Pelodiscus sinensis: one gene and its partners. The protein of the gene in region 2 binds, or shares a complex with, the protein of the main gene of each other region. Links are inferred from orthologs where the notes say so. Each region holds a gene or a part of one and is shown on either strand. Other genes may lie near its edges.

Region 1 (6,856 bases), on a different chromosome or scaffold from region 2:
CATATGGAGTTAAAGATGAAGAATCTTTGCATAAGAGAAAATGTCCAGTGTTTCCAAATGCAAGCAGCACATCAATTTATAGACAGATGGAGTATAAACCTGCCACCTCAGAGATTCCAGAACTCCTAGAACAGAGAGATGGCAAATAATTTTCATAACCAAAGACAAAGTCTGTCTGAAGCTAAAGAAGTTCCAATCATGTGTATGTAATGTGCTGCCTGTCCCCAATCATTTCCTTAAAGATTTAGCTCAGAAATGCAGCAAAGGAGGGTCAAAAAACCTCAAACAAATGAAGTTTACAGCCTGCTGTTGCAGAACTGTCCCCTAAGATAATTGTACAACAATGGAAGGGGAAAAAATAAACATGTTATTGTGATGAATTCACATAGACCCACTATCCGCTACTCCAGGCATCCCCATTGGCATGCCTGCGGTAAACAAATATAGATGCAGTTTCTACTAATGAGGCAGGGAACAGTGAGGCCAAGGAAAATGCAATCATCTCAAAGGAAAAAAACAATCGCACAGGACTCCTCCTCTCCCATCCATAGAGGAAATCAGATGCCAGCTGCACCATCCTAGGAAGGAAGCAGAGAGGCTTCTGCACCTGATGAGCCCTGCAGAAATGAGCTAGTGGTATCACGGGATCCAGACAGGCGCTCCGGGATTTTAGCAAGATGAGCTGACTGCCTAGCACAAGCCGTTTATACAACACAACTTTATTTCGGGTGGCATCATTCATGCAAATTGCATCTCCTTTATGAGTTCAATCTATCTAGTCCCTCTGATTATTGAGCCAAGAGCACACAGCCAGTACCTAACAGACTTACTTTTCCCAACTCAATGTCCTGGGCCATTACATTTAACATCCTCCACTTTCAGTCCACATGCATTCAGCACTTGAAGACACTTCTCTCTGTGTTGCCAGTGTTACTTGAGCTCCAGAATAAACTGAGTCGATAGGACTTCACAGACAGGGAAGTGGGAATATGTTTCATACTTCCTCTTCCCCTCCAACCCCAAAAGGCACTCTTTCCTTCCCCTATTTGAAGGGGGAGGGGGAAATAAACATATGATCAAAAGATTTTTCAGGGCTAATGCAAAAATTGTTTCCAAAGAAAATACCCTGCAGACACATTTAGAGGCACTTTTAACCACTCCTTCCTATACACCAAAACTCACCACCCAAAACTGAGGTGCAAGAGCCCAACTCAGTTCACCTTGCTGTATGTATACTTACACCTCAAAAAAACCCATCCTGCTCATTTTTTAACTCCACAGCAAAGCAAAAAATAAAAACAGAATGTAACAGCCTAACAGAATTCTCTGCCACCTTCTCCAGCCATCATCTTTTTAGGCACTTTCCGGGCATTCAAAGCAATGTCTCAGATACAAAATATAAATATTATTTTAACACCTTCCCCCCACCTCAAAACCTGAGCCTCATTTTAAAAGTAAAACCAAAATAAAAACCTCATCCATGCTCATCTCCCGTACATTCAAGGAGCCACCCTCTTATGTCCACTCCATCCCCCCCCACCCCGCCCTCCAGTGTTGAACACATCAGCTACAACATCCCCTTAGGATTCTCACCTATCTCTTCCTCATGATGCATGCTCTTGCTTCTGTATCAAGCAGATTTGTTTTGGTAGTAAGCTATCACTAGTGTCTTGGACATACAACCACAAAAGCACTGTGCCATCCCCCTACATCCACCCACACTCATCCGACCCTACCAACACAGTGTCTCTTCTCTTAACAAGGACCCTCCCTCTCCCAAGTTCTTTCATAGGCATATTATTTGTTTCAAAGGTACCCTCCCTGTCCTCCTCATAGGCCAGTATAAAATTCCTCCGCGAAAAACACCAACCTCCTCTTCTTTCACCTTAAGTCAGTCATGCCACACACATTGTGTGTCTCAAGAATAGAATCTAGGTATTAATAGTGCACTCATCACCATAATGTCCCAACAGTGGGCAAGGTGCCTTCCTTCTTTCCTAATTCACCCCACCCACCTAGTCCTGTGTTCAACTCCCTGCAAAACTACAACAGCCTGCAGAATAGCCCAACACACCCTGCAAGCAGCAACAGAATCTGTCCCTGTCCTCTTTCCCTTTACCTGTCCCCTATTTCAGGCAATGTGCATAGTCACACAAATTTCAGACACCACCCATCATAGACTCACAGGGCTGGAAGAGTCCTAAGGAGGTCATCAATTCCAGTCCCCTGCCCAAAGCAGGACCAACCCTAAAAAGTCCACCAGAAGCAAGTCTAACCTGGTGCAAGTCCCACTTCCCAAACACACCATTGCTCTCCCACAATCGTGTGCTTCTAGCGCACATGGAGCCACCAGCCTTTTCCATCCCAGCAGTACACTCCTCAGCAAAACCCAACCTAAAAGGATTCTGTCCCTTTCCCACCCATCTACCCCTCCTCGCCCCAAAAAATCAACCTCACTCGCAGCCTGTATTTCAAAGAAAGCAAGAAAACGGCCACCGAACCACAGTGTTGAACTCCCCCAGCAAAAAAAAAAAACAACAAAAAAACAAGCCTGCCTAGGAGACACCTCCCTGCCCCCACTTCAAGGATACAAGGAGCCACCCAGATCCCTTCTACTGAACTCTCCCAGCAAAATGTGCACAGGCTAAGGGGATCTCCCCCTCCACCAACGCCAAACCCAGCACAGGGCAAGGGGACCTGCCACCCCCAAATCCGCCTCACGCAGCCTGTGCTCCAGGGGCTCAAGGAAGCTCCCCCCCATCCCAGGGTTAAACTCCCCCAGCCAGGCCCAGCTCAAGCTCAGGGGACCCTTCCCATGCCCCTCCCAAAGCAGCTCGGTCCCCCACGCCCAGCAACACTCACCTCTGGACGCTGGTCCCTTCTCCACCTCACCATGGAAGAGCGCAAGTGGGGGATCCCCAGCCCCAGTGTGAGGGGGGCAATAACGGGGGTGCAGAGGGAGGGGAGCAATGGGGGTGAAAATCCTTCCGCGTCCAATCCCCCCTCTCCGGCCCCCCCCCAAGAGAAAATCCCCCCTCCCCCCTGCTCCTTTTTTTTTTTTTTTTTTTTTTTTTTGGCTCAATCACACCAGACTGACTGTCTTTGTCTGTCTGGCAAGCGCCATGTTGATATCAACATCCGAGCTCCCACCTGCCGCCGCTGCGCAGCCCTGGGACTTGTAGTTCCCCCCTCCCCTGGGTGAAGGGGAGAGCCGAGGCAGGAGGACTACAACTCCCAGCGTGCCCTTCCGGAACGGCGCGCCGACGGAGAGAGGGGCTGGGGAGAGGAAGGGACTACAACTCCCAGGATGCACCTGGGGAAGGGGTGGCAGGGCATGACTTCATCCTGGGCAGGGGCGGGCGGCGGCAAGAGGACTACGAGTCCCATGATGCTCTGCGCGGGGGAGGCTGGGCAGGAAAAGGGGCGGATGGTCACAGTAAATAGCGCCGGCCGGGTAAAGCATGAAGCTGGTGAGTCTGTGGAGCTAGTGTCTGTTTGGGGGGGCTGGGCTGAAGGGTCCCCCCTCGCTCCCGTCCCGGGCATGGGGGCGGGTCCTGCCTCTGGGCTTCAGGCCAGGCCTGGTTGCCATGGCTACGCAGTAGGCCCTAGAGAGTCTACTGAGCTTGAGGGGGGGCTCAGCCTTGGTGGAGCGTGGGGTCGCCCTCCCCCCACCGCTGGGGAAACTGAGGCACTTAGCGGGGGCAGGCCCCGGGGCGGCGCGTCGTGCTCTGTATGTGAGGCGAGGCTCCAAAGGCCCCAACTGTGACGGGGGCTTGGGGCCCACTGGGCCAGGCCCTGCCGCGCGGGGGTCAAGGAGCCGGCCACGCGCTCCGGGAGGTAGAGCCCCGTTTCAAACGTCAACCGTTCAGATGCGACGGTTAACCGGTTAACCGTCCTCCTGCGGGCGGGGCTCCTCTGGCCGGGCCGGCGCGCCCCCTGACCATGGTGGGCGGGGCTGGAGCAGCCCCTGGCCCGGGCGCGGCGAGGCTCCACGTGAGAAGCTGAGGGGCAGGAAGGGGTTGGTGGTAGAGAAGGGGACGCTTTTGAGGGGGGGTGTTGCCGAGAGGTAGGTAGGGTGTGTGTAGGTAGGGGGGGGTGGGGGTGTAGGTAGGGAGGGTGGGGGTGTGTGTGTGGGTAGGGGGGGTGTGTAGGGGGTGTGTGTAGGTAGGAGGGGGGTGGGTGTGTGGGTAGGGGGGGTGTGTAGGGGGTGTGTGTAGGTAGGAGGGGGGTGGGTGTGTGGGTAGGTGGGGGGTGGGTGTGTGTGTCGGGGGGCCCACACTGAAAATCATCAGATGCTGCTGCTCCTCGTCTGAAAGTTGGAGACCCTAAGCCACTCCCAGGATGGGTGAACCCAGATTCTGAGGGTTTTTTTTAACTTGGAGCGATACAGTCTTTACAGGTGGATGACTTTGGCTTACTTTGAAAAACAGAAGCTTAGGGGGGTCGCCAAGTTCGTCTGTACAGGATCAACTTAAAAACAACAAATGGTTTGGTAGCACTTTATAGACTAACAAAACATATAGAAAAACATATAGGCTACGTCTAGACTGGCAAGTTTTTCCGCAAAAGCAATTGCTTTTGTGGAAAAACTTGCCAGCTGTCTACACTGGCCACTTGAATTTGCGCAAGAAAACTGACGATCTAAGGTATGATCGTCAGAGTTCTTGCGCAAATACAATGCTGCTCCCATTCGGGGAAAAAACCCTCTTGCGCAAATGCTTTTGTGCAAGAGGGCCAGTGTAGACAACTGAGAATCGTTTTGTGCAAAAAAGCCCCGATGGCGAAAATGGCGATCGGGGCTTTCTTGCACGAAACCGCGTCTAGATTGGCATGGATGCTTTTCCGCAAAAAGTGCTTTGGCACAAAAGCGTCCGTGCCAATCTAGACGCTCTTTTCCGTAAATGCTTTTCACGGAAAAACTTTTCCGTTAAAAGCATTTGTGGAAAATCATGCCAGTCTAGATGTAGCCATAGACTAAGAAAACATGTAGATGGTATCATGAGCTTTCGTGGGCACAACCCACTTCTTCAGATGACCGTAGTTTCCCACAGGCAAAGTGTGTATTATAATACGACACAGACTTGTGGGGTGCAACTCCTGTGGGTTCTGACTCCATCTCTGGCTTGTTTTGTGACTAGGAGAAAATCACTTACCTTCACTGTGGCTTAATTTATCACTGTAAAATGAATTTATGGAGAGGTAGATGAAGGTACCAAACCTGCAGACTTTTACATAAAAACAGATATTAGACTAGACCAAAGCTCCATCTAGCACAGTAGCCTGTCTTCCGACAGTGGCCAATGCTAGACACCATAGAGGAAATGAACCGAACAGGGAATAACCAAGTTATCCATTCCCAGTTGCCCATGGGGCTTATGACAAACAGTTGCTAGGGACCTCATCCTGGCTAATAGCCTTCACAACACCCTTTGACAAAGTGTTTATATGATTCAGGTCTATAAAATCATGACTTATATGGAGAAAGCGAATAAGAAAGTGCTATTTACTCTTCATAACACAAGAGCTAGGCATGACCAAATGAAGTTAATAGGCAGCAGGTTTAAAGCAAATAAAAAGGAAATATTTCTTCACACAATGCGCAGTCAACCTGTGGAACTCTTTGCCGGAGGAGGACCATAACAGAGTTCAAAAAAGAGCTAGATTAATTCGTGGAGGACAGGTCCATCAGTGGTTATTAGTCAGGATGAGCAGGAATGGTGTCCCTAACCTCTGTTGGAAAATGGGAATGAACAACAGGGTATAGATACCTTGATTATTACTTGTTCTGTCCATTCCCTCTGGGGCACCTGGCATTGGCCACTGTCAGAAGACAGGATACTGGGATAGATGGACCTTTGGCCTGACCCTGTCTGTCCTTATGTAGCTCTTTTTTCTTGGGTTTTTGTCTTAGGTCACAAGGGATATTCAGGTTTTTTGGCAATTTCATCCTGGACCCTCATGTATTTGTTTTAAATATGGAAGAACAAGACAAAAATAAATCCACACCAGTCCTAAGCAATGGACACCTGCTCAAAAGCCCAGTGAAGACAATGGAATGATGACCTCTGATTTTGATGGGCTTTTATTCAGGCTCTTGCTGCTGCTGCTGACCATTATAAAGGCAAATCCAACAGCAAACTCCATTGTATATATACTGCCTATAACTAGCTTAGATCCATAACTTTAGAGCACTGGTGCACAATCTGCACTGGTTTATGGATAAAACTTGAAGTGTTGGATTTTAATCTATAAGTCTCTGAATGGCTTGAGGCCTTGTTCCCTGCACGATTGTCTCTCTCCCTTGCCAAACTGCCACATGTCAAGTCAGCAGAGTCACTCATACTCAACATAAATAAAATGGTGGAGCATTCTCTGTGAGGAGTCTGTTGATTTGGAGCTTGCTGCTTGCTTTGATCTGCCAAATCCCAGATGTGTTAATTTTCCACATACTTTTCAAAGCCTTTCTCTTTCTCTCTTCTCTAAGGTTGTTGAAGAGGTCATAGGTGGATATATTTGTGGACAAACTGTGGTTCATGTGTTATGATCTTTAATTAATGGGACAGATACCAAGAGCTTTGGATGGGTGTAATTGCATTTTTAGAGAACTGAAGAAAAAATAAATAGCAAACTGGACCTTCCAGTTGGACAAGCCCAAGAACACAATATTTGGGATATGTTGCTGGTCTGTTTTTAATGAGCTTTAAGCAATAATAATTTATGATCTTGTTGAAATAAATTGAAAAGGTTAATATACTACAACTTACATTATTTTAACATCATACAGGACACTGAGTTAAGTCATAAAAGAAAAAAAGGGGGGGAATTCCATGTAGTCAAGAGAAATCAAGGACATAAC
Region 2 (7,210 bases):
TGGATTATGGGTTTGGATTTTTTTGAATCTGTGATGGTAAGTTTTCATGAAAACTTTGTAAGGCTGACCTAAGTCAAACAGGAACGAAGGAAAGCAGAAAAACAGGTGAATACATGTGTGTGTATAAGAGGGCCATGCATGGAAACAGACTAAAAAGATTAGCTTTACGTGTGAAATTAGTATATTTCAAAATTTTGTCACCAAGATTGCATTTAAAAACATGTTTAGGGTGACTTGGCAGTGCAACATAGTGAAACATGGGAAATAAGAATTTTCCTCCTACACAAACAGAACATGGCAACACAGATATATGCTCAGTCTCAGAGCATTTGGTTGAAGCAACTTATTTTTTAAACAAACAGCAGCAGCCTTTCTTCCTCTCAGAGGGCATTACATCACAGGAGAAAATAAAAAGGGGAAATGTGAGGCTAATAGGGCAAGTAAGTGCAAAATATACATTTAATATGTGTACCCATTAGCAATGCTCTCCACTACTATGCAAAACTCGAGCTGGATTCATATTCCAAGTCTCTTACTCTTCAGGCCAGGAGCAACTGAGAGTGTTTCCAAATATATATTCAACCCAAGGAAGAATGCAAGTAAGTGCCTTATTGTTTTACAGTGACCCACACTGTTGATTAAATATAATGTTGACATGCTCCAAAAGAAGTCCTGTTCAAATCCTTCTGAGCCAGAAGGATGGCAGCTCCAGTACAAGTTGTCAGCGAAGCCAGAGCTTTTCAGGGCTTTAATATGAGGGAAAGAGATTGAATGATACAGGAATATGCAAAGACAGAAGCAGTGGTCTAATTAATTAATAAACCAATACTTGATTAAACCTCTGTTCCAGTTAACCTAATAGCTAGGTCCCCACAGTGGCTAACAATAAGTGTACTTCAGCGAGAAGCTAAACCCCCAAAGTCCCCCCAACTGATTGGGTACCACCTATGTTACACGTAAGAGAAAATATATTTATGACCACTGCATGCGATTGGGTAATGTGCTGAAATATAAGGTTTCATTATCTTGAACATAATATACCAAAAATGTACACGTGTGAACTGAAAAAAAATGTAAATCAATGCTTGTGTTTGTGTTTTAAAAAACTCAAGAAGTTTTAAACAGATATGAAATAAAAAATGAATTAAAACTGGGTGCAAAACTACATCCTAGTTATGGGTTTCCCAATTGTCTCAGCACTGTTTATTTGTAAAATAGTTTCCGTTATGTTTTACTCTTCATATTTCACAGAGGCTATTATTTTGGTCAACTAATCATGTGTGGTCTCTGAAAGTGTTTTTTAAAAAAGTGTTTACACCTATTCATATTCAACCTACCTGCCCATAGTTGTCTATGCCAGTTACTAATCTATTTAAGTTTAATAAATCAAAAGCTGTCCTTAGAGACTGGCCAAGAGTCGTAAGTCCCTCAGCTTGAAGGTTTTTCAATTCATTCATAAAGGTTGCATGGTTTTCTTTCCAGCCAGCCTGCAAAGAGAAAGGCAAGAATGCTTATCTTTCAGATGATAGCAGTATACATGGAGAGCCTTCTGTTACAGATTACAAAAATGGTTTCTTCCTCTCTTTCATGTATGAAGTTAAAAAATACCCCCACAAACTATCAACTCATCTTAGAGCCTTAACTAAGAACCCCTTCTGTTCTAAAGACTTCATATACCATCTCTCACACACACCCCCCAGCTCGCAGCCGTCCCCCTCGCAGGAGAATATCGGTGCTTGGTTTCACGGTTTGAGGTGCAAAGAGTGAGCCTATAAGTTATAACTTATTGAGGATCACTGAAATAACCAGAGCCTGGTCCACGGCAGCGGCCGGGGCCGGTCAATGACCTACAGCAGGTTCCCTTCTGATGTGTCATGTGGAGGCTCCGGGTCTCCACGCACAACAAGGGCGAAGCGCCCAGCCTAGGCTGCCCGGCCCTAAGCAGGTACCGCTCCTCGCCGCCGAACTCGCCTTAGAGTTGCTGTCACTTCTCCTAACTTGAATCAATATCCCCCACAGTCCATTGCTGCTCGCACACCGCACAGGAAAAATGTCGGCCATGTTGATGTCAGCGCCGCCGCCGCTGCCAGAGCCTGTGTGTGCCTGTGCGGGGCGAGCTGCGCTGCGCCGCGCCGCCGGGAGCGCGGGGGAGGGGAGAGGCGGGCGGACGGCCCGGGGGAGGAGGGCGATTCGCGGGGGTTACCTTGATCGCGTGGGGAGGCTCCTCGAAAGTGACCAGCATGTACCTGTCTCCTCTGCTGGCGGGGTCCCGGGCGCGGAGCTGCGGGCACAAAGCGCAGGGTTACCCGAGGGAGCCAGCAGCAGCGCCCCGCATGCGAGCCCCCGCCCGGCCTCCGCAGGTCCGCACCCCCCAACCCCGGGCAGCAGGGCGACCTCCCCCCCCCCACCTCAACCCACCCCCTCTCTCGCCGCCGCCTCTCGCAGGCAGAGCCGGTACCTTCATAAAAGTCTCTACAGCGCCTTTGGCTATGTCCAGATAGGTGGTGCCCAGATGGGTGCGCTGGTTCATGGAGGCGGACGTGTCTATCAGGAAGAGTAAGATGGGCATAGTGCGAAGCAGCAGCGGGGCCGGCGGCTACATGGACAGGGGCGGGGGTCAGACACGAGGGGGCGGGCGGGCAGTGGGGGCTATGAGTGCGCTGCACGGGGAGAGACGCCTCCCCGCGCCCCGTTCGCCTTTGTGTGAGGACCCTGCACAGGCTGGTTTATAAGGAAAAGGCGGACGGGGGCTGCACTGCTGCTGCTGCCGCCGCCGGCCCCCCTGTTGATGTTACTCAGAAGTTTCAGGCGGAGCAGCCGCGACCCACCCACCCCGACACTTTCTCTCTCTGACTGAGGCGCTTCCTCGCTCGCAGCCCGCTTTTAAGGCAGCCTGGGCAGGTCGGGAGCCGCCCCCTAAAGGCACGTCCACGGGCCACGTGACGGCCTCCCTGCCCCGCCATTGGACTCCCGACGACCCTTCATTAGCATATTTAAATCACGGGGAAAAGGGGAACGAGGCGGATCCAGCCACTGAAGGGAAGGCGGTTGACGAGCACGCGTTCCAGCTGCGCGCATGCGCGTTGCTGCTCCGACCGGGTGGGGGTGCTGCTGCAATGACATAGTCGCCCCCAGCTGCCCCGTTCTGGGAAGGGAGGAAGGGATCCATCGGAAAACGCTGAGGGAGACGGGGTGGGGGAGGGGCGCGGGCGTTGCTAGTGAGGTAATTCGGCCGTCGGACAGGCCTGTGAAGCTGCCCGCGAGGGGGCCGGAGGCCCGGCCGCGGGAGCGGCTACGGGGATGAGGCCCGAGCGGGGCGGCGGGGGTGTAGCGGGAGCCGCTTATCGCTGGGGTGGGGGAGGGGAGCGGGCCCGGGAGGCGGCAGGGCCTGAGGGGACGCGGGGGCGGGCTCCCCCGGCGAGGAGTCTCCTGCGCGCTGGCCTAGCAGCTCGGTCCCTCCGCGAGTGAGTCACGGGGCGGCGCCTGCTGCTGCCTGCGCGCCGCTCCTCTTCCGTAACGCAGGCGCCCGGCGACTCCCTGGGGCTGCGGGCCGGCCTCGCTGGGCTCCGGGCGGTCCCCGGCAGGGGCGGGAACAGGGGGGAGGCGGAACAGGGAGCGGGCGGCGGGCCCTCGGGGGAGCTGCAGTGGGGGCCAGGCCGCCTGCCCGCCCGCCCGCTCGCAGCCCGGGTCTGCAGGGGCTCACGGGAGGCGGGGTGCGTGGCGCTCCACGTCAGGAGGAGAGTGGGTCAAGGGCGGGGGCTTTGCGGGGCGACTCCCCCTCCCCCCCTCTCCGGCGAGGGAGAGGCAATTGCTAGGCGTGGGGCGTTGCAGCTTGTCTTTGGGAGAGAAGCGGAGGGGGATAATCAGGACGGATGCCTTGTGTGAGGACGGCGGGGCCCGTATTTTAGTGGCTGGGGCGCTACTGTCTTTCTCTTCAGCGGGGGAGTCTACGAGTTCGGATGGTCTCACATTGAGACAGCCTTGCATGCCTGGAGTGCTGTGGTTTTGACCTTAAAAGTACTGCACTTTTCTTCTAGTTGGATCCTGGGGAACTGAGGGTACTGCACTCTTCCCCCGCCCCCTTAAAGTAATAGTAACCAAATGCATGGTTTCTGCTTTCAGCACCTCCACTATAAAATAGTTCCAGCTCCCCTACTTGGATCTGAAATGTGACACTAACTTGTCGAATAAAAACAAGACTTCCACCTCACAAATCACTCAAGACCCACTCAAAGAACTTCAAGAACTAGTAAGATTTTGCCTCTCTTTAGTTTAAAGACGTCAAGGTGGCCAAGCCAGGCAATAGGGCCACAAGATCAGAGGCAACAGAAACAAAGTTGTGACACTCCCTTTCACTTGATGGTGAGTTACACTACTGTGCACACCAGAAGATTGATTATTTACAGACCAATGTGTTTCGTTAGGTTTTTAATGTATGAACAATTGTGTGAATATTGCACAAGCAGAAACATCCTAATTATAAATTAGGCACAGATTATGTTTTACAGTTTGTCTGGACCTGGGCTTTCTCTACCCATATGCAAGACACATAACCACAGACATGGAGCACCATGACATTTGAGGTACCAAATTGCCTCATATTTCATGGTGCCTTATGCAAGCTGGCTGCTATGTGTGAGCTCCGGCAGACTCCGTCCCCTATGGGCTGCATCCGGCTCCTACTGACCAGGCAGTAGCAAGCAGTATGGCTACGTCTACACGGGCCCCTTTTCCGAAAGGGGCATGCTAATTTTCAACTTCAGAATAGGGAAATCCGCGGGGGATTTAAATATCCCCCGCGGGATTTAAATAAAGATGTCCGCCGCTTTTTTCCGGCTTGGGGAAAAGCCGGAAAAAAGCGTCTCGACTGGCCCAATCCTCCGGAATAAAGCCCTATTCCGGAGGATCTCTTATTCCTACTTCAAAGTAGGAATAAGAGCCTCCGGAAAAGGGCACTTTTTCCGGAGGATCGGGGCCAGTGTAGACGCTCTTTTCCGGCTTTTTTAAAAGCCGGAAAAAAGCGGCGGACATTTTTATTTAAATGCCGCGGGGGATATTTAAATCCCCCGCGCATTTCCCTACTACGACTCATGAAATTTACATGCCCCTTCCGGAAAAGGGGCCAGTGTAGACGTAGCCCTCTTGTCTGTGCCAGTACGGGCTGTGGCAGGCATGAAGCCTGCCTCAGGGTCCGGCTGGGCTGCTGGCTATCTAAGGTAAGGATCTACTGGCCAGAGCCTACACCTGACTTCACCTACTCCCACTCCTCCAACCTGTCCCAGGTCACAACCAAAACCCTCTGTACCACCACTCCTGCACCAGTGCCCCCTCCAAGACCTGCATCCCAATTTCCTGCCTTAGGTCACAACTCCCTCCTGATCTAGGACACAACTCAAACCTTTGCAACTGTGCCCCAGGTCACAATCTCCTCCTAGACTCTCCAGCCCCCTCCTCCAGGTCAGAATCCTTTCTTGTTCCCATATGCACTCCTGGACTCTACACAAAAATCCCCTGCTCAGCGTAATAATCCCCTCTTTCACCCAACCTTATTAACAGTTAGTCTTCCTCTCAGACCCCACACCCTCTCCTACTCCTTAGTCCCCTATTCCAAGCTCCTTTCTGCAGCCAGCCTCCATCCAAGACCTAGCACCTCCTCCATTAATATACCTATGAATCATTTTCCCTGTTACCTGGCCTCTGACATTAGCCGCTCAGATCCTCTGCTCCAAAGCAACCATGTACCCCAGTTTTCTAGTTTTATCTTAAATCACTATTGCTGTAAAATCACACAGAACTTGTGAGCACTTACATTAAAAGAAAAGTATATTTAAGAGAATATAGAGATTCTATTAGCAACGAGAGTGTGATGGAAACAAATGGATAATACAAAACAAAATTTTAAGACCCGAACCTTGGTCTGCACATATTAATTACCCTTCCTAACTAATAAAATAGGATGTACAAAAAACTCTGCACTCAAAAATAAAACAGTTTAAAACTTCAGGGCTACGTCTAGACTGGCATGATTTTCCGGAAACGTTTTTCCGTTAAAAGCATTTTAGGAAAAGAGCGTCTAGATTGGCACGAACGCTTTTCCGCAAACGAACTTTTTGCGGAAAAGCGTCCGTGCCAATCTAGATGCGCTTTTGCACAATAGAGCCCCGATGGCCATTTTAGCTATAGGGGCTTTTTTGCGCAAAACAGTACTGTGCTGTCTACACTGGCCCTCTTGCGCAAATGATTTGCCCAAACGGGAGCAGCATAGTATTTCCGCAAGAACACTGACAATCTTACATGAGATAGTCAGTGTTCTTGCGGAAATTCAAGCGGCCAGTGTAGACAGCTGGAAAGTTTTTCCGCAAAAGCAGCTGATTTTGCGGAAAAACTGGCCAATCTAGACACAGCCTATATGTTTGATAAAACCACTGTAAAGGACTTGCAAATATGTGAATCCTTGCAGAAAAATATGGCTGGTGAAGAAATATTTTATTGTATTAACTTTATTACAAGAAATGAAATTAGTTGGGAAAAGTGTGTTGATGTGTGTAGTGGCAGCACCAGGGCAATAGTTGGGGACACAGCCAGAGTTGTATCGCGAATTAAGCACCAGCAGTCACTATGTCCTTCACCGACAAGTTCTTGCCATTAGAATATGTTTGTACCTCTTTAAAATGTTCTGGAAAAGACAGTGCAAATTATTATATACAAACTCGACCACTACAATCCAAATTATTCTGAATTCTGTGCAGAGAAGCGGGCAGCACATAGTTTTCCTTCAACATACAGAAGTGAAGTGGCTATCACAAGGGAAAGTGCTTGTTAGACTTTCTGAGTTTCATCACAAAGTATTAGTTTACTTTGTAGAACACAAACGCTGACTGTCTGATTGTCTGACAAATTACTCCTAGCTGCTGTACTTTGCAGATACATTCACCAAGATGAATGAAGTTAATCTGTCGCTGCAAGGAAGATATGTGAACATTTTCACCATAAAAGATAAAATTTTGTCGCTATTGCAGAAACTGGAATTACTTTCTTCCATTATTTGATCTGAGGAAGTGGGTCTGGCCCACGAAAGCTCATCATCTAATAAACCATCTTGTTAGTCTTTAAAGTGCTACATTGTCCTGCATTTTGCTGTAGAAGAAAAGAACATTGACTGCTTTCCTTCAGTGAAAAAGTTGTTCAGTGTATCAACTCTACTTTCAAT
Region 3 (7,062 bases), about 25 Mb from region 2:
ACTAAGATTTCATGTGGTTACATGACTGTTCAATTACGTGATATCTAACATCTCCAGTTAACTTTCTTCCCTGAAAAATGTTTTTATTTCTAGATATGATAGGCCAAAATCTCATAATGCTGATGCAACTGTACTGATTTCAGTGGGTTTACACAGGAATTACTTTGGCCTGATATAGTCTGTATTTGTGTGTAGCATAGGAATCTAAGGTCTTCAAAAAGAGAGATGTGCTTGAATCAGCTCTGAACATCACCAAACTTTGTTGGGTCAGAATCCATACCCAAATGCAGAACTAGTCTCTGACCCCTATTTCTTTTGGAGACACGGGACATGAAATCTTGATTACATTTTAGTTCACAAAGGCTATAGTTAACTTTAAAGACAGCTTCCAACTTGTTTGATTTTTCCACCTCTTCCTAACTTCAGCAAAACCAAACACATCCCCATGAAGTATTTCATGCCACATGTTACACCACAATAGAATTTTTCTGAAACATTTGGGTCACTATTATATAACTTATATAACTTCAAATCTTTCCATTAAAAAGGGGGTAAACACCAGGTAGATAAATATTTTATCAAGCATGTCTAAGTATTGCATGAACCTTGACAGATGGGCAAGACCAGGACACAGCAAACAAATATGTTTCACCTTTATTTACCTAATCTATATCAAATACTTATGAAACACAATTAAAGATAAAAATTCTCTTGTCACAGTATAATAGTAAGTTTCCTAGACTGGTATCCTAGAATTTGAAAAGCATATTATATACTTGTAAAGAAATCAGTGAAACTAGTCTTGGCATGAAGCAAAACAGTCTTTTATATAGAAGCTAACATTTTTAAGGGCTCCTTCTGGCTACTTTCAGAGCACATGTGGAGGTGTAACCACCATCAGGCAAATTTGAACCTGGGATCACTTAGGCTATGTCTACACTGGCAGCTTCTTGTGCAAGAACTCTTTTGCGGAAGAGTTCTTGTGCAAAAACTCTTCCAGAAGAGAGCATCTACACTAGCATGTGCTTTTGCGCAAGAGCATCCATGCCAGTGTAGACACTCTCTTGCGCAAGAAAGCTCTGATGGCCATTTTAACCACAGGGCTTTCTTGCACAAGAAATTCATGTTGCCTGTCTACACTGGCCTCTTGCGCAATAACAGTTGCGCAAAAGGGCTTATTCCTGAGGGGGAGCGTCAGAACTCTGGCACAAGAAGCCCTGATTTCATACGTTAGAACGTCAGTTTACTTGAGCAAGAACACGCGGACAGTGTAGACAGGCAGCAAGTTTTTGCGCAACATTGCGCTAGTGTAGACACAGCCTGGCTGTGTCTACACTGACTGCGTATTACGGAATAGGCATGCAAATGTAGCACTTTGGAAAAGGCAAATCCACGGGGGATTTAAATATCCCCCGCGGCATTTGCATTTTCATGGCCGCCGCTTTTTTCCGGCTTGGAGATAAGCCGGAGAAAAGCGTCCAGACTGGCGCGATCCTCCGGAATAAAGCCCTTGCAAGTAGGAATAAGAGATCCTCCGGAATAGGGCTTTATTCCGGTGGATCGCGCCAATCTGGATGCTTTTCTCTGGCTTATCTCCAAGCCGGAAAAAAGCGGCGGCCATGAAAATGCAAATGCCGCGGGGGATATTTAAATCCCCTGCGGATTTGCCTTTTCCAAAGTGCTACATTTGCATGCCTATTCCATAATAGGGGCCAATGTAGACGTAGCCCCTGAGTGTAGGAGCCTCTACAGCTTGAAATATAAAGCCAGCTGGCTCTCAGCTTAGGCTGTAGAGCTCCCTTGTCTAAGTGCCACTACGTGGGACAGTGAACCACCCTAGGTCTGTGGATTACAGAGGTATTTATTAAAACATGTTACTGAGAATAATAACAGGAATGAATTTCCCGTCTGTATCACTGAACTGAGGTACTCTTCCCACAGACAAAGAAAGTCATACATTTTTAACTGTGAACATAATCTATTGGAATAATTTGTCAAAGGTTGTGGTGGATCCTCCAGGATGGGCAATTTAAAATCAAAATAGAATGTTATTCTAAAAAATCTGCTCTTGTTCAAACAGGAATTATGGGGAGTCCTATACTCTGTGTTGTATAGGAGGTCTAGGCATGCACACAGGGAGAGATGCGAAGGTGCAAATGCACCTCCCTGACCACCCAAGTCAGCATGAGGGGGCTCCTCAGCCGCCTTCCTGGTGGTCTGCAGCTCGATCTCAGCTCCCCTCCTACTAGTGCAGTGGGGAGCCCACACGGGCACAGTAGCCTCACCCTCCCACATCCCCCCATGCGGTTGGTGCACTAGCATTAGCTTCCTACTGGTGGGGAGGGGAGAAACCCCAGAGCCTCACTACATGATCTGACTTGCAGGGAAAAAGGGCTCCCCCTTCCCCTCTCCTGGCTGGGGGAACAGCAGTGCGCAGGCTTGCTGCTGTTCCCACAGCTGTGGGAAGGGAAAGGGGAAGAGAAGTGCTCCTTTCCCACAAGCTGGATCACGTAGTGCGGCTCAGGTCTTTCTCTCTCCCACCCCCTCACTGGGAAGCTGGAGCTGGTGCTCCAACAGAATCCAGCCAATGAGAGCAGCGGGAGGCAGTGCCTGGGATTAGTATGGGGCAGAAAGGCAAATAAGTGCCCCCCCACCCCTTCATGCCCAGCCCCCTCACACACCACCACCACCCCCTGCTCCTGCACCCTCCCTCATGGCCAGACACCCTACCCCCAAGCCTGCTCCTGCATCCTCCCTTGCTCCTGCACCCTCCCCCTGGCCAGACACCCGCCCCCTACCCTGGTCCTGCAGCACTAGCAAAATGGCTTGGGTGTAATTATGTAATTAACAGTGAGTTTCCATTAGCAACTGATGATTCATGGAAAGGTTTGCATTGAACCAGGTGGTCCACAGGCCAAAAAGTTTGAGAACCACTGTGTTAAGTGGATGGGAGAGTGCTGTGTTGGGGGGTGGGTAGGCAAAGCTGGTGGTAGTGCAATAGGGCTGGGGGAATAGCGCCCCCCCCACCTGCAAGGAGCAGCCTGAGCCTGGCCCTGCTGGCCGGATGCCTCACCTGCTCTCAACCTAACCCTGGCCTCAACAAACAGGTAGAGCAGCAGCAGGCAGTGGTGGCCAAGGGAGCAGGGGGCCATGGTGGCCAGACTGCCCGCCATGATCCCAGAAGGTAATTTCTGTAAAGCCTTTATTGCTGTATAATTTTTTAGTATAACAAAATCATTTTACCAATCACTGTTTCCACTCAAATTTATCATTAACCTCTTTTGTGCACACTCATTGCATAACTATTCTGAACTCCTTTACATTAAAAAAAAATCGTGGTCCACATTTACATAAGAAGCATCCCTCCACAAAAATCCTTGCATATGGGCTTGAGGTCAGACTAGATGTTCACAATGGGCCTTTCGGGAATCTATGACTCTGTGTTGTCATTCCTCTCAGGCAACAGCCTGAGGAAATGACCTCGCTCTACGTGCCTGGGAGGAAATAACAATTCGGATTATCACGGGAGTACATTTGTTACTGACAGATATGCAACATCCTGTACATTAAACATGTAGATACAGAAATCGATTTGCGTGGGGCAAAAGAAGACGCAATGAATTAAAAAAAATCTTTCAGGAAATTAAAAATGTTGAGCCTGAGCTGTGCTGATTTGCCCCAGCTGAGAACCTAGCATAGGATCCTGATCCGCACCACAGCCAGGGGCCCGTGGAAGCCACTTATTAAAACAGATCCACCGAAGAGTCTAGAAATTGAAGGGCGGCTTGTATGATTCCCTTCGCTGAGCGGGGGTCACTGCTCCTCCAGCCCCTGCTGATTCAGCCCTGCTGTTCCCAGGGCTCACTTTGTTGTTCCCAGGGCTCACTCTTCTGCGGTTGGCCAGGAGTGTGAAACACACCTGGCCACGTGTGGGACATGCAGCTGACCACATGCTGGCCACGTGTGGGACATGCAGCTGACCACATGCTGGCCACGTGTGGGACATGCAGCTGACCACATGCTGGCCACGTGTGGGACATGCAGCTGGCCACGCTGGCTCTTTGCTGGGGAGTGACTCCTGGTTCCCAGCCCAGCGCTTCAGCACAGGGATCAGGGACCCTCCCACCAGCAAGGTGGCTTTCCTAGCGCTGAGCACTCCCACTGCGGGCACCACCCCTTGATTGACAGAAGCCCAGCGACGGGCGCTCCAGCCTCGCAGGCCTCTTTCTCCCTAGCCAGGGACTCACTGGCCATAGAGAGGAGACCTCCGCCTGTCTAGCAAGGACAGTTTATCTTCCCATCATCGCCAGCATCTCTATGGTTTCATTTCCGGGTGCGGTGGTGGAGGGGAGGAGAAGGAAGAAGGTACGGTGGCTGCGAGGGCTCGCGCCCTGCTGAAGGCGAACGGCGGCGGTGGCGGGCCTCGGCATGGCGGCGCACCTGAAGAAGCGGGTGTATGAGGAGTTCACTAAGGTCGTCCAGGTAATCCGCGAAGCACGTGAGGGCGGCTTGGGGAAGCCTCACCCCCGTCCCCGGGAGAGGGGCTCGGCCCCTGCCCGGGAAGGCGACTCCTGGGCGGCCTGACGTTTCAGGAAAACCCGCTGGAAGCCTGAGGCCTGGCACTGAAATGCCTCGGGACCCGCAGGCGGCTGCTCCTCTTCTGGAGCGCCGGGGAGCCGCGAAGCTGCCAGCCAACCCGGGGTCCCCCGCGAAATGGGGGCGGGGCCCCCCGGGGGGGGCTAGGGGCCCAAGGGGTCCCCTGCAAAGTGGGGGCGGGGTCCCCTGGGGGGGCTAGGGGCCCAAGGGGTCCCCTGTGAATTTGGGCGGGGTCCCCTGGGGGGGCTAGGGGCCCAAGAGGTTCCCTGCAAGTGAGGGCAGGGTCCCCGGGGGGGGGGGGGGGCTAGAGAGCCATGAGATCCCCGTGAAGTCGGGGGGGGGGGGCTAGAGAGCCAAGGGGTCCCCTGTGAAGTGGGTGGGTGGGGGCGTTAGAGGGCAGAGAGCCCAGGGGCATGGAGGGAATGCCTACCCCCCCCCCCCCCCAGTAGTGGCTGTGCTGGTAAAACCATGCACAGGCTGGAGCTAGTTGCTAGGAGCCCAGGCTCCCCTGCTTCCCTCTGTTCTGAGGTCTTGCCTCACTCTGTGGCTTTGCCCAGCAGCAGCAGCATGAGGAGATCTCTGCAAAGAAGCTGCGGCTGACCAAGCCCAGTAAGTCGGCAGCACTCCATGTCGATCTGTGTAAGGCTACTTCGCCGGCAGATGCTCTGCAATACCTGCTTCAGTTTGCCAGGAAACCAGTGGAGGCGGAAAGCGTGGAAGGAGTTGTCAGAATCTTGCTAGAGCATTATTACAAGGTAGGGGAAATAGCCTCAGGAGCAACTTTCATGGGACTTAGAGCTGCAAGAAATAGTGGGACTTTTGTATAGTTCTATTTCCTGACATGGCTCTTGTTGGAGAGATGCTCAAGTGTTGGTAACAGAATGTGAAGGTTCTAAAGTGATGTTGGGTTTTGGAGTGAACCTCCCCAAGCCTGATTGACAGAGTTGGGTTAGTCTCCTACTAATGCCCTAAAAGTAGCTGTATAAATAGGGCTTTGAAGTAACCACTTGGAGTCTAAAATGTAGAAAAGGGTGATGAACTTCAGAGCTCTCCCAATTCTAGTGGCCCATTGATTCTCATCATGCTTATTATTGATTCTATGATGCTTATTAAAAGTGAAGTTAAAAAGTGCACCGTGGCTTAACAACCACGTAAAAGAAGCAGCAAGAGATAAAAAGGCATTGTTTAAAAAGTGGAAGTTAAATCCTAGTGAGGAACATAGAAAAGAGCATACACTCTGTCAAAGTAAGTGTAAAAATATAATTTAAAAAAGCCAAAAAAGAGTTTGAAGAACAGCAAGCCAAAGCCTAAAAAGTAATAGTAAAATGTTAAAATACATCAGAATCTGGAAGCCTGCTAAACATCCAATGGGGCCATTGGACGATCAAGATGCTAAAGGAGCACTCAAAGACGATAAGGTCATTGCGGAGAAACTAAATTAATTCTTTGCTTCAATCTTCACAACTGAGGATATTAGGGAGATTCCCAAACCTGGCCATTCTTATTTCTTATTACAGCGACAACCTCAAGTTCACCTATCTTAGTATTTGAACTTCTTGCGTTTGTATACAAGCAGTTACAAAATCTGTTAATATGTAGTTGTCTGCCTTCAGGTTATGTAATTGAATGGGACTCCTTTTTGTTTGACTTACTCTTCAATTCCTATCTGTACTTTTATCAACTTCTATTCTCTTCTCCTTACTAGGCTATAGAGCTAGGGTGCCCAACACGCTAGCCACATATGGCTATTTGGCCTGTTGAGTGTGGCTAGTTTCAGAACTGGTTGGAAACCACGGAGTATCCTCTTTAATCCTCCCTTAAGTGATATGGTTGTCTAAACTGTGTGTTCCTCTGCATCTGTTGACTTGCCCACAGCTCTTAGTTCAAAAACTACTCTACTACTTAGGGATGTTAAGCATGTAATTCGTTAATTGTGTAGTCGACATAATTTTGTTGACTACATGATTACTCAATAAGGGTTAGCACTGTTACCACTCAGTCCCAGCTTGAGCTGGGTCTGGCAACTACTCCTGCTTTGGTTCTGCACTACAAGCACTCGTAAGGCAGAGCTGCAGCAGGGGTTGATGCTGGGTCCCGGCATGAGCGAGACTAGGGCTGTTAAATATCGGAACATTGAAAAGTCGATTAACCTCATAAATATTTATTGGTTGATAGACTGTTCTATAGTTCCCAGGGATGAGGCCGGCAGCCAGTGCGCTCTAGCCCCACTCCCGAGGAACCCCTGCCACTCTGTGCTGTCGGGGGGGGAGGGTGGGGCTAACCTCCCAAACCCTGCACAAGTCGAAACTGAGCCAGGCTGCCCGCCCGCCTGGCTCCTAACACACTTTAAATGCAGAGCCACAGCAGGGATAGGTTCTGGACCTGGCGTGAGCAAGGACTGAGTTGGGCTTCTGGTCAGCCTGCTAAAAAATGTACTGGCAAAGAGGAGGTGGGTGGGAGTAAATG

Evidence for each region. The genes of interacting proteins can lie anywhere in the genome.
Region 1: INTS6 (region 2) and INTS9 share a complex: the UniProt entries of both Homo sapiens proteins name them as parts of the integrator complex. The link is inferred for Pelodiscus sinensis from reciprocal best matches to the Homo sapiens genes INTS6 and INTS9.
Region 3: INTS6 (region 2) and INTS4 share a complex: the UniProt entries of both Homo sapiens proteins name them as parts of the integrator complex. The link is inferred for Pelodiscus sinensis from reciprocal best matches to the Homo sapiens genes INTS6 and INTS4.

What each region holds. Positions count from the first base shown.
Region 1 is NC_134713.1:4,737,466-4,744,321, forward strand, and holds the start of INTS9 (integrator complex subunit 9), read left to right. Parts: upstream 1-3,843; 5' UTR 3,844-3,942; coding exon 3,943-3,993; intron 3,994-3,995; exon of another isoform or gene 3,996-4,018; intron 4,019-4,041; exon of another isoform or gene 4,042-4,066; intron 4,067-6,856. UniProt on the Homo sapiens protein: Component of the integrator complex, a multiprotein complex that terminates RNA polymerase II (Pol II) transcription in the promoter-proximal region of genes.
Region 2 is NC_134711.1:291,278,775-291,285,984, forward strand, and holds the start of INTS6 (integrator complex subunit 6), read right to left. Parts: upstream 3,012-7,210; 5' UTR 2,570-3,011; coding exon 2,459-2,569; intron 2,282-2,458; coding exon 2,204-2,281; intron 2,098-2,203; exon of another isoform or gene 2,062-2,097; coding exon of another isoform or gene 1,972-2,061; intron 1,488-1,971; coding exon 1,338-1,487; intron 1-1,337. UniProt on the Homo sapiens protein: Component of the integrator complex, a multiprotein complex that terminates RNA polymerase II (Pol II) transcription in the promoter-proximal region of genes.
Region 3 is NC_134711.1:316,726,663-316,733,724, forward strand, and holds the start of INTS4 (integrator complex subunit 4), read left to right. Parts: upstream 1-4,049; 5' UTR 4,050-4,428; coding exon 4,429-4,482; intron 4,483-5,153; coding exon 5,154-5,351; intron 5,352-7,062. UniProt on the Homo sapiens protein: Component of the integrator complex, a multiprotein complex that terminates RNA polymerase II (Pol II) transcription in the promoter-proximal region of genes.